Linked DNA regions of Danio rerio. The protein of the gene in region 1 purifies or fractionates together with the protein of each later gene. This does not show direct contact. Links are inferred from orthologs where the notes say so. Each region holds a gene or a part of one and is shown in the gene's direction. Other genes may lie near its edges.

The links.
Region 2: the proteins of josd2 (region 1) and ahcyl1 purify together in Homo sapiens (affinity purification with mass spectrometry; 4 studies listed by BioGRID and IntAct, counting the BioPlex papers as one, with this or other methods). This does not show direct contact. The link is inferred for Danio rerio from reciprocal best matches to the Homo sapiens genes JOSD2 and AHCYL1.

The regions. Positions count from the first base shown.
Region 1 is NC_133191.1:14,041,351-14,045,283, forward strand, and holds the start of josd2 (josephin-2), read left to right. Parts: upstream 1-1,086; 5' UTR 1,087-1,268; intron 1,269-1,408; 5' UTR 1,409-1,415; coding exon 1,416-1,537; intron 1,538-3,933. UniProt on the Homo sapiens protein: Cleaves 'Lys-63'-linked poly-ubiquitin chains, and with lesser efficiency 'Lys-48'-linked poly-ubiquitin chains (in vitro). May act as a deubiquitinating enzyme.
Region 2 is NC_133183.1:26,876,392-26,880,224, reverse strand, and holds part of ahcyl1 (S-adenosylhomocysteine hydrolase-like protein 1), read left to right. Parts: intron 1-368; coding exon 369-457; intron 458-1,352; coding exon 1,353-1,423; intron 1,424-3,833. UniProt on the Homo sapiens protein: Multifaceted cellular regulator which coordinates several essential cellular functions including regulation of epithelial HCO3(-) and fluid secretion, mRNA processing and DNA replication.

The DNA.
Region 1 (3,933 bases):
TTTTTGTGATTGTTGTTTTTGTTGTTTATGTTCTCATTATTGTGTTCTGTATTTTTGGCATTTCTTATTAAAATTGAAATATGAAAAGCATGATGATTAATATGTAAAATGTAATTTATTTTCTATTAATAATAATAATAATAATAATAATAATAATAGTTTTCAATAGCATTTGTACAATTATTTTAAAATGTTTTGTTCACTGTAATATGGAATAAAATATGCAAAGATATATACATAAAAAAAGATTTTTAAAGCTCCAACATATATAATATTAATCTATTATTATTATTATTATTATTATTATTATTAGTAGTAGTAGTAGTAGTAGCAGTAGTAGTAGTAGCAGTGGTTACTACAACTAATAATAATATTAATAAAACATTAATGTTTTTGACATTTATACAGTTTATTAGCACACAGTTTACAGTAATGTCTAAAACTGAAAAAAAGGGTTTGAGTTTTTATTTTGATCCCTGGATGACTTTTATATATTCGTATCCTTCATTGCAATTTGATTATTTAGTTAAGTTTCGTTTAGTTTAGTTTAGTTTAGTTTAGTTAATTTGTTTACAGGGTCAATGCACATTAATAAACATTACTGTAAAATGTGCCAGAATTAGCCAAGAATGTGTAGACCCCTTATGGAATGTTAAAAAGTCACACCTAAAATAGAAGCACAGCATTAAACATGAAATAAACTTTCATATATAAAATACAGTTAAAGTAAAAAAGACAAGAACAGACTGATGGCAGCAGAAGAGGACAAAAAGCCAAAGACAACAGTACAAATGTGTCAAGAATACAGTACTAATGCTGACAATGCTGATTTGCCAATAACCAATTTTTAACATGAGATTGAAAAGAACGGAAAGTGAGTGGTCTTCTAATTGTTGGTGGGATGGAGTTCCAATCCTTAGCAGCTTCCACTTTCACACAAGATCATTTTTTATGTAATTTTATATTTTATTTATTCGTTTATTATTCTTTATTATATTTTTTTGTAAAATGAGGGTCCCCCTATGGAGCGGCCGTGTGAACTGCAGCATGATCGCACGGGGCGTTCCCTCAACGCGACAACAACACAACTTCCGGCTGATCCTCACGGACAAGAAACAGGCGGCGTTCCCCTTTCACAGACCGCAACAGATTTCGTTAATAACAGCTTAATATTGTATGTTTAATGGACCAGTAAAGATCAGTTTCGCGGTACGTGTCAGGAGCATCAGTGGATAAATCGTTGCACTGCGGATTCAGTCTTCCAGAAGGTGAGATGATGATGTTTACGATGATGATGATGATGATGTATCCAGTCATGTGCTGTCAGCTTACGGGAACGCGAGTACATAACGTGTTTTTGGCCGTAATTACATGTTAATGGACGGTCTGAATGTGTTTGTGATGGCAGGGTGAGCATGAGCGAGGGCGAGGTGTTTCATGAGAAGCAGAGACTGGAGCTGTGCGCCATCCATGCCTTGAACAACGTGCTTCAGGAGAGAGTTTTCACTAAAGAGACCGCCGATGACATCTGCAAGCGGTGAGCGCGCGCGCGTGCACACGACTACAGTAACTTAACTGAAAGAGGTCATGGCATGGATTTTGTAAAATCATTGTAACATTTAAATTGAAGGTCACTTCTACTGTTAATATCATGTTTACACACACCACGCAAAAATATGTGTAAACAATTGAAGAGTTCAGATGCAAAACCCTCTAAATAAGGGGTCACCAATCTCGTTCCTGGAGGTCCGGTGGCCTGCAGGGTTTAACTCCAACTTGCCTCAACACACCTGCCTGGGTGTTTCAAGTATACCTAGTAAGACCTTGATTAGCTTGTTAAGGTGTGTTTGATTAGGGTTGGAGGTAAAATCTGCAGGACACCGGCCCTCCAGGAACAAGTTTGCTGATCCCTGCTCTAAATCCATCAGACCTCTTTTTTTTTTTTTTTTTTTTGTGAATGAACATTTCCTACCCGGCTTCTGATTGGGTTCAGAAGTTTCATTTATTGATAACGATAGGGTTATTAGCTAGTAAATGCAATATCTTTTTGTTTCAAAATGTCACTTTAAACATTTCAAAATTAGTTTTTTTAGCAAGGTCAATTTTCTTTTGCATCAAAACTAGCTAAATCCACCAGTGCTTTTTTAGCAAAACATACGGTGGCCGGGAAGTGCAAAACAACATTAAAGTTTGAAACACTTTAACAAAGCTCGAGACAAATTTACATTTTGACAAACATGTTTACCTATCATCAGACACAATTACATAGAAAAAAACAATTTTACCAAGGACAAAACAAATGTACATTTTAGAAAACAAATTAACATGACGCAAAACACTTTTACAAATCCCGAAACAAATTTACAATTACAGATTCCCTACGGAAAGGGAATGTACCACACCCCGAAGTGACATAGAATGTACCACACACCGGTAGTGACGCGGGGGAACGTTGTTGTTGTTGCTGGTGTGCGCGGTAAATTCGCGCTGTGGAGTACATGGCGTAAACAAAGTTTATGGTGACCGAACATGGACTGCGGTCGAGGGTTGTTTTGCCCGTTTTGTGGCAAACACTTGTGCAACTTAACACGGTTTTGCTTTGCGTGTGGTCGGTGTTTAGAGTTTATAAAGGACGCGGACCAGACCGAAACGCCAGACATGCTGCATCAATGTGTTTAATATTTTTACGAGATCCCCTCGGTACGCTGTAATTATGAACATGATGTCAAGTCTACACGGTGTAAACCTCTGCTTGAGGACTCTTAACGGTAAACTGAAGGAAGCCTGTGTTATGGTTTAACTGGTGTCCGTGTTAACTGAGGCCCCTTTTCAGATGTGCAAACTATCCACGTTTGCAGATTAGCAGATTGGTCACTTTTTCACAGCAACAAAACATGCCCATACCGAATAAAGATTCTAATTACTTGGTGTCAGTGTATCATTGTTGATTTAATATTTGTGTGGCAGAACAGCATAAACCAAAATTAATCTAAAGAAATTATTATAATTGACATGTCATCAACTGGATTTGAACCCAAGTCAATAGGTTCTACATGAGTATCAACCGACTTATCCAACTGAGCTACTCCGGTGTACAGGTTGAGATTGGTTTTGGTATCTTTATCAGTCAACATGTGCTGTGCTTTAAATGTTTCCATGGACTTGCATTTCCATGTTTTTATGCACTCTCACGCTGATATTTTCTCAGAATAGCTCTAATTTATTTTATCGCAGTTAGTCAAACCATAATTTTTATAGTTGTAGACTTGTGGAAACCTGTCTACAAAGTCACACAGTGTGTGTTACATTCCGGGTCAATACCGGTGTGTGGTACATTCTACGTCACTTCCGGGGTGTGGTACATTCCCTTTCCGTAGGGAATCTGTAATTGTAAATTTGTTTCGGGATTTGTAAAAGTGTTTTGCGTCTTGTTAATTTGTTTCCTAAAATGTAAATTTGTTTCGTCCTTTGTAAAATTGTTTTTCCTATGTAATTGTGTCTAATGATAAGTAAAAATGTTTTTCAAAATGTAAATTTGTCTCGAGCTTTGTAAAAGTGTTTCAAACTTTGTAATGTTGTTTTGCACTTCCCGGCCACTGTAAAAAACCCCTAAATCCACCATTTGAGACAATACAGTGTAGTTAGTTGAAAATCACTAAAAATGCAATTGGAAATAATTTTACCAAACATAAAACACCTAGAATTAAAAATATATAAATCTGTCAAGTAAGTGGTGGTTCATTCCGCTGTGGTAACCCCTGATAAACCAGGGACAAAGCCGAAGGAAAATGAATGAATGAATGAATGAATTCTGTCAAGTAAGAGCATTAATCAGTAACATTAACACTGACATTAATTAAATCTTAACAAGCTGTTGTCATTTCTGATATTTGGGATTTAGATTTAATGTAGATAGAGCAATGTAAACATAGG
Region 2 (3,833 bases), on another chromosome or scaffold:
ATATCCATCTGTAAAAACATTTGGAGTACTGGATACAGATGATTACAATTGTGAAGTTTGTTGTGTGTACTGCAAATTGCGCTGAAGTTGAGATTGATGGCTCAGTGGAGGAGAATAAAATAATTCTGAGAAAAAGTCTTTACGGAAATATATTGTAATTGACATCCACAGACACATTTTTAAGTGTGATAAAAAAAATTTTAATCACATATTTTGAGTGTTTTCTTTAAATTAGACAAAAAAAAAACCTGTAGTGTCTGTACTGTAGCTGTAATTTCTCAAAACAGACAGACATTATTTTCTAAAAGCACAGAGAATGGAATGACGTTTCTGTGTTTGGCTGTGTTTCTGTGTTGACCGTGGTATAGGTGGGGAAAGGTTGTTGTTCAGCTCTGAAAGCACTTGGAGCAATAGTGTGTGTGACGGAGATCGATCCGATCTGTGCTCTTCAAGCCTGGTAAGACCAATAGACCCTCAAGAATGAGTGAAATCTACATTTAAACACAAGTGCGGTGTTATTGAAATTAGTAGTCATGCGATATTTTTTTTTCTGAAGGTCAATATTGGAAAGCAGGGTGGCTGATATTTAGCCAATATAATTTATTTTAATTAATAATTAAATACAAAAGGTACACAATTTTAAATAATTAAAAAATGCAGATGGCAAGCTCAATAGTGTCATTTGCCTTTATTACTAATTAATGCAATCATAATTATGTGTACACATTTTAAATACTTTGTTTAAACAGTTAATCTAATCTAATAATCTATAGCCTATTATTTTCTCTTTGTATTCGAAACAACTCCAAGTCAATTCAATTCAATTCTAGTTTATTTGTATGGTGCTTTTCAGAATAATTATTGTTTCAAAGCAGCTTTACAAAAGGTGCACATTATTCCATTACAATCTAATTCGGTAAAGTTAAGGTTATTAGTTACTAGTTATTAGTTAGTTGCAAATATGTTCTTGTTTTATACAACAGTTTAACAAACAAGACAGTAATACTGCATGAGTTACATTTCAGACACAGTCTCAAACAAATCTGAAGCGAACATTTGTGTCTCACAGCAACATTGCAAGGGTTTGTTCCTAAATGAAATTAGGAATGAATAATTTGAGTCAGTGATTCAGTGATAAAGGTGATAATTATTAGTTAATATACTTTATTCAGTTTACCCTGTAACACATAACAATTTTGTATCAAATAACTTGTGTAAACTGGTCTCTCTTAGTATCTACCACAAATAATATCAGCATATCAGCAAACCAAATAGGAACTCAAAATCTTCTTTGCACAGCAATATCTAAACACATCTGCTAATTTTTATTTGTTTTTTTATTTCCTTTATAGTATGGACGGCTTTAGAGTGGTGAAGCTGAATGAAGTGGTTCGTCAAATGGACATGGTCATCACCTGCACGGGTACGTCTGCTTGCTGTTGGCTAGCTTCCACTTTCACATCCATTTCCTCTATTAAATGCAGCTCTTATCAGCACAAACGATTCCTCCCTGAGCTGCTGTCAAACGGTTGGGCCTTTGACAGCTACGACTGATCTCTTAAGTGGTCTGGGGAAAAATCATGTTTGCCAAGTTGTGAGTCTCTGCTAGTCATAAAGAGAGAACTGAACTCCTGCTTCTTTAATTGGTTGAAGGGTAAAACAGCATTTTGGTAACATTAAGTGAGTTAACATGATTGACAAACAGGACTTCTTCTCTATTTTTTATTATATTATACTATAATAAACCATTTATTAATTGTTATTGTCACTGTCAGCATTTAACAATACATTATTCAAATAAAAAATGCTATGTTCATTTATTTTTAACATAAACAAAAAATGTACAGTTATTTATTCATTCATTAATTTTCTTTTCGGCTTAGTCCCTTTATTTATCTGGGGCCACCACAGCGGAATGAACCGCCAACTTATTCAGCACATTTTTACGCAGCGGATGCCCTTCCAGCCGCAACCCATCACTGGGAAAATTAATAGTTATATTTGTATTAATTAATGGATTAATATATAATTTAAAGCTTTATTAATTCCTTTGGGGCAATTTATTCGGACATAGTGGTGCCTCACATAACAAGATTGACACCTTTAACACAATAAACACCAACACTTAACATCAAGTACACAAACAAAAACTGAAAAAAAAAAAAAAAATATATATATATATATATATATATAAATAATAATTTATAATAAAAAAGAAGGATACAAGGATATTTTGAATATCTTAAAAAATATTTTAAATTCTATAAGTTAATCATTATATAATAAGCCACAAGTCAAAATATTATCATAATTATCATACATTTAAACAAATAAATAATAAATAAAGTAAAAAAAAAAACATCAAATAATCATTGCTCATAATAAGTGGACTTTGGTAACATTTGAACTCTTCTCAGGGTGTCTGTGGGGTCTTAAAATGTCCTAAATCTTAGCAACTAAATTTTAGGCCTTAAAAAGTCTTAAATCTACTGAAATGTTGTGTTGTAGGTCTTAACAGGTCTTAATTTTCTTTTGTTCATTTATGTTTGTTCACCAACAATCAATCTCAATAAAACTTTTTTTTATTTATCATTTTATTTGTTACTTTTATTTTTTAATTATTTTCCTCACCATAAAATTTGCTTAAAAGTTATCCCTATATTTACAGCTGAGGATACTGACCTGGCCTTTATTTTTATTTTTAAATTGTAATTTTTATTATTAATGTATGATTTAATGTATAAAATTAAAATAATTTTTTTGATAGGGCAAGTGAAAATCTTTTCCAACTGGCTTATTCGAAAAAAAAATTCCTTAGCATTTAGCCCTGTAAAAGTGAAAAAACTCAATCATAATGGTCTTTAAAATGTCTTTAAAAGCCTTACAACCTGCTGAAACTCTTTTCACACCAGTGTTTTTTTTTTTTTAAAGTTGCCATCCACTGTCAACATTTTTGATGATTTGTTTCTAAATTTGACAAATATTTTCTACTATGAATATGTTCATATTATATATATATATAAACATAAAGAACCGAGCCTGTTTTAACTTTGTAAATGTGCGTGTGTGTGTGTGTGTGTGTGTGTGTGTAAAACAAAAACAAGACAAGTACTGGACATTCTAAACACTGTAAAAAAATGATGCAAAATTTGCAATAACACTGGCAATTTGGTTGCCAGTAATATTGTAAAAGTAACTAAATAAGTAATGTGTATTTATATAGTGCATTTATTGTGTATGGCCATACACCCAAAGCGCAATACAATCATGGGTGGAGGGTCTCTACCACACTACTAGTGTGCAGCCTCCACTTGGATGATGCGACGGCAGCCACAGGACATTGACGCTAGTGCAATCCCCACTTACCAGCCATAGGTGGAATGGAGAGACAGTGATAGAGCCAATTTGGTGGATGGGGATGATTGGGAGGCCAGTAAGAGCCAATGCAAGGAACTTGGCCAGGACACCAGGGTTACACTCTTTACGAAAAATGCCATGGGATTTTTAATGATCACAGAGCCTTGGTTAACATCTCATCCGAAAGACGGCACCCACTGACAGTAAATTGCCCCCTTTACTTTCCTGGGGCATTAGGACACATACAGACCGCAGGTTGAGCGCCCCCTGCTGGCCTCACTAACACAACTTCCAACAACAACTTAGCTTTTCCATGTGGTCTCCCATCCAGGTACTGACCAAGCTCAGCCCTGCATAGCTTCAGTGAGTAACCAGTCTTGGGCTGCAGAGTGATATGCCTGTACAATTTACAAGTATACTGTAAATTACCAAAACAATTGTGCTGCAGCTTTACAGCACAATTTTAATGATTAATT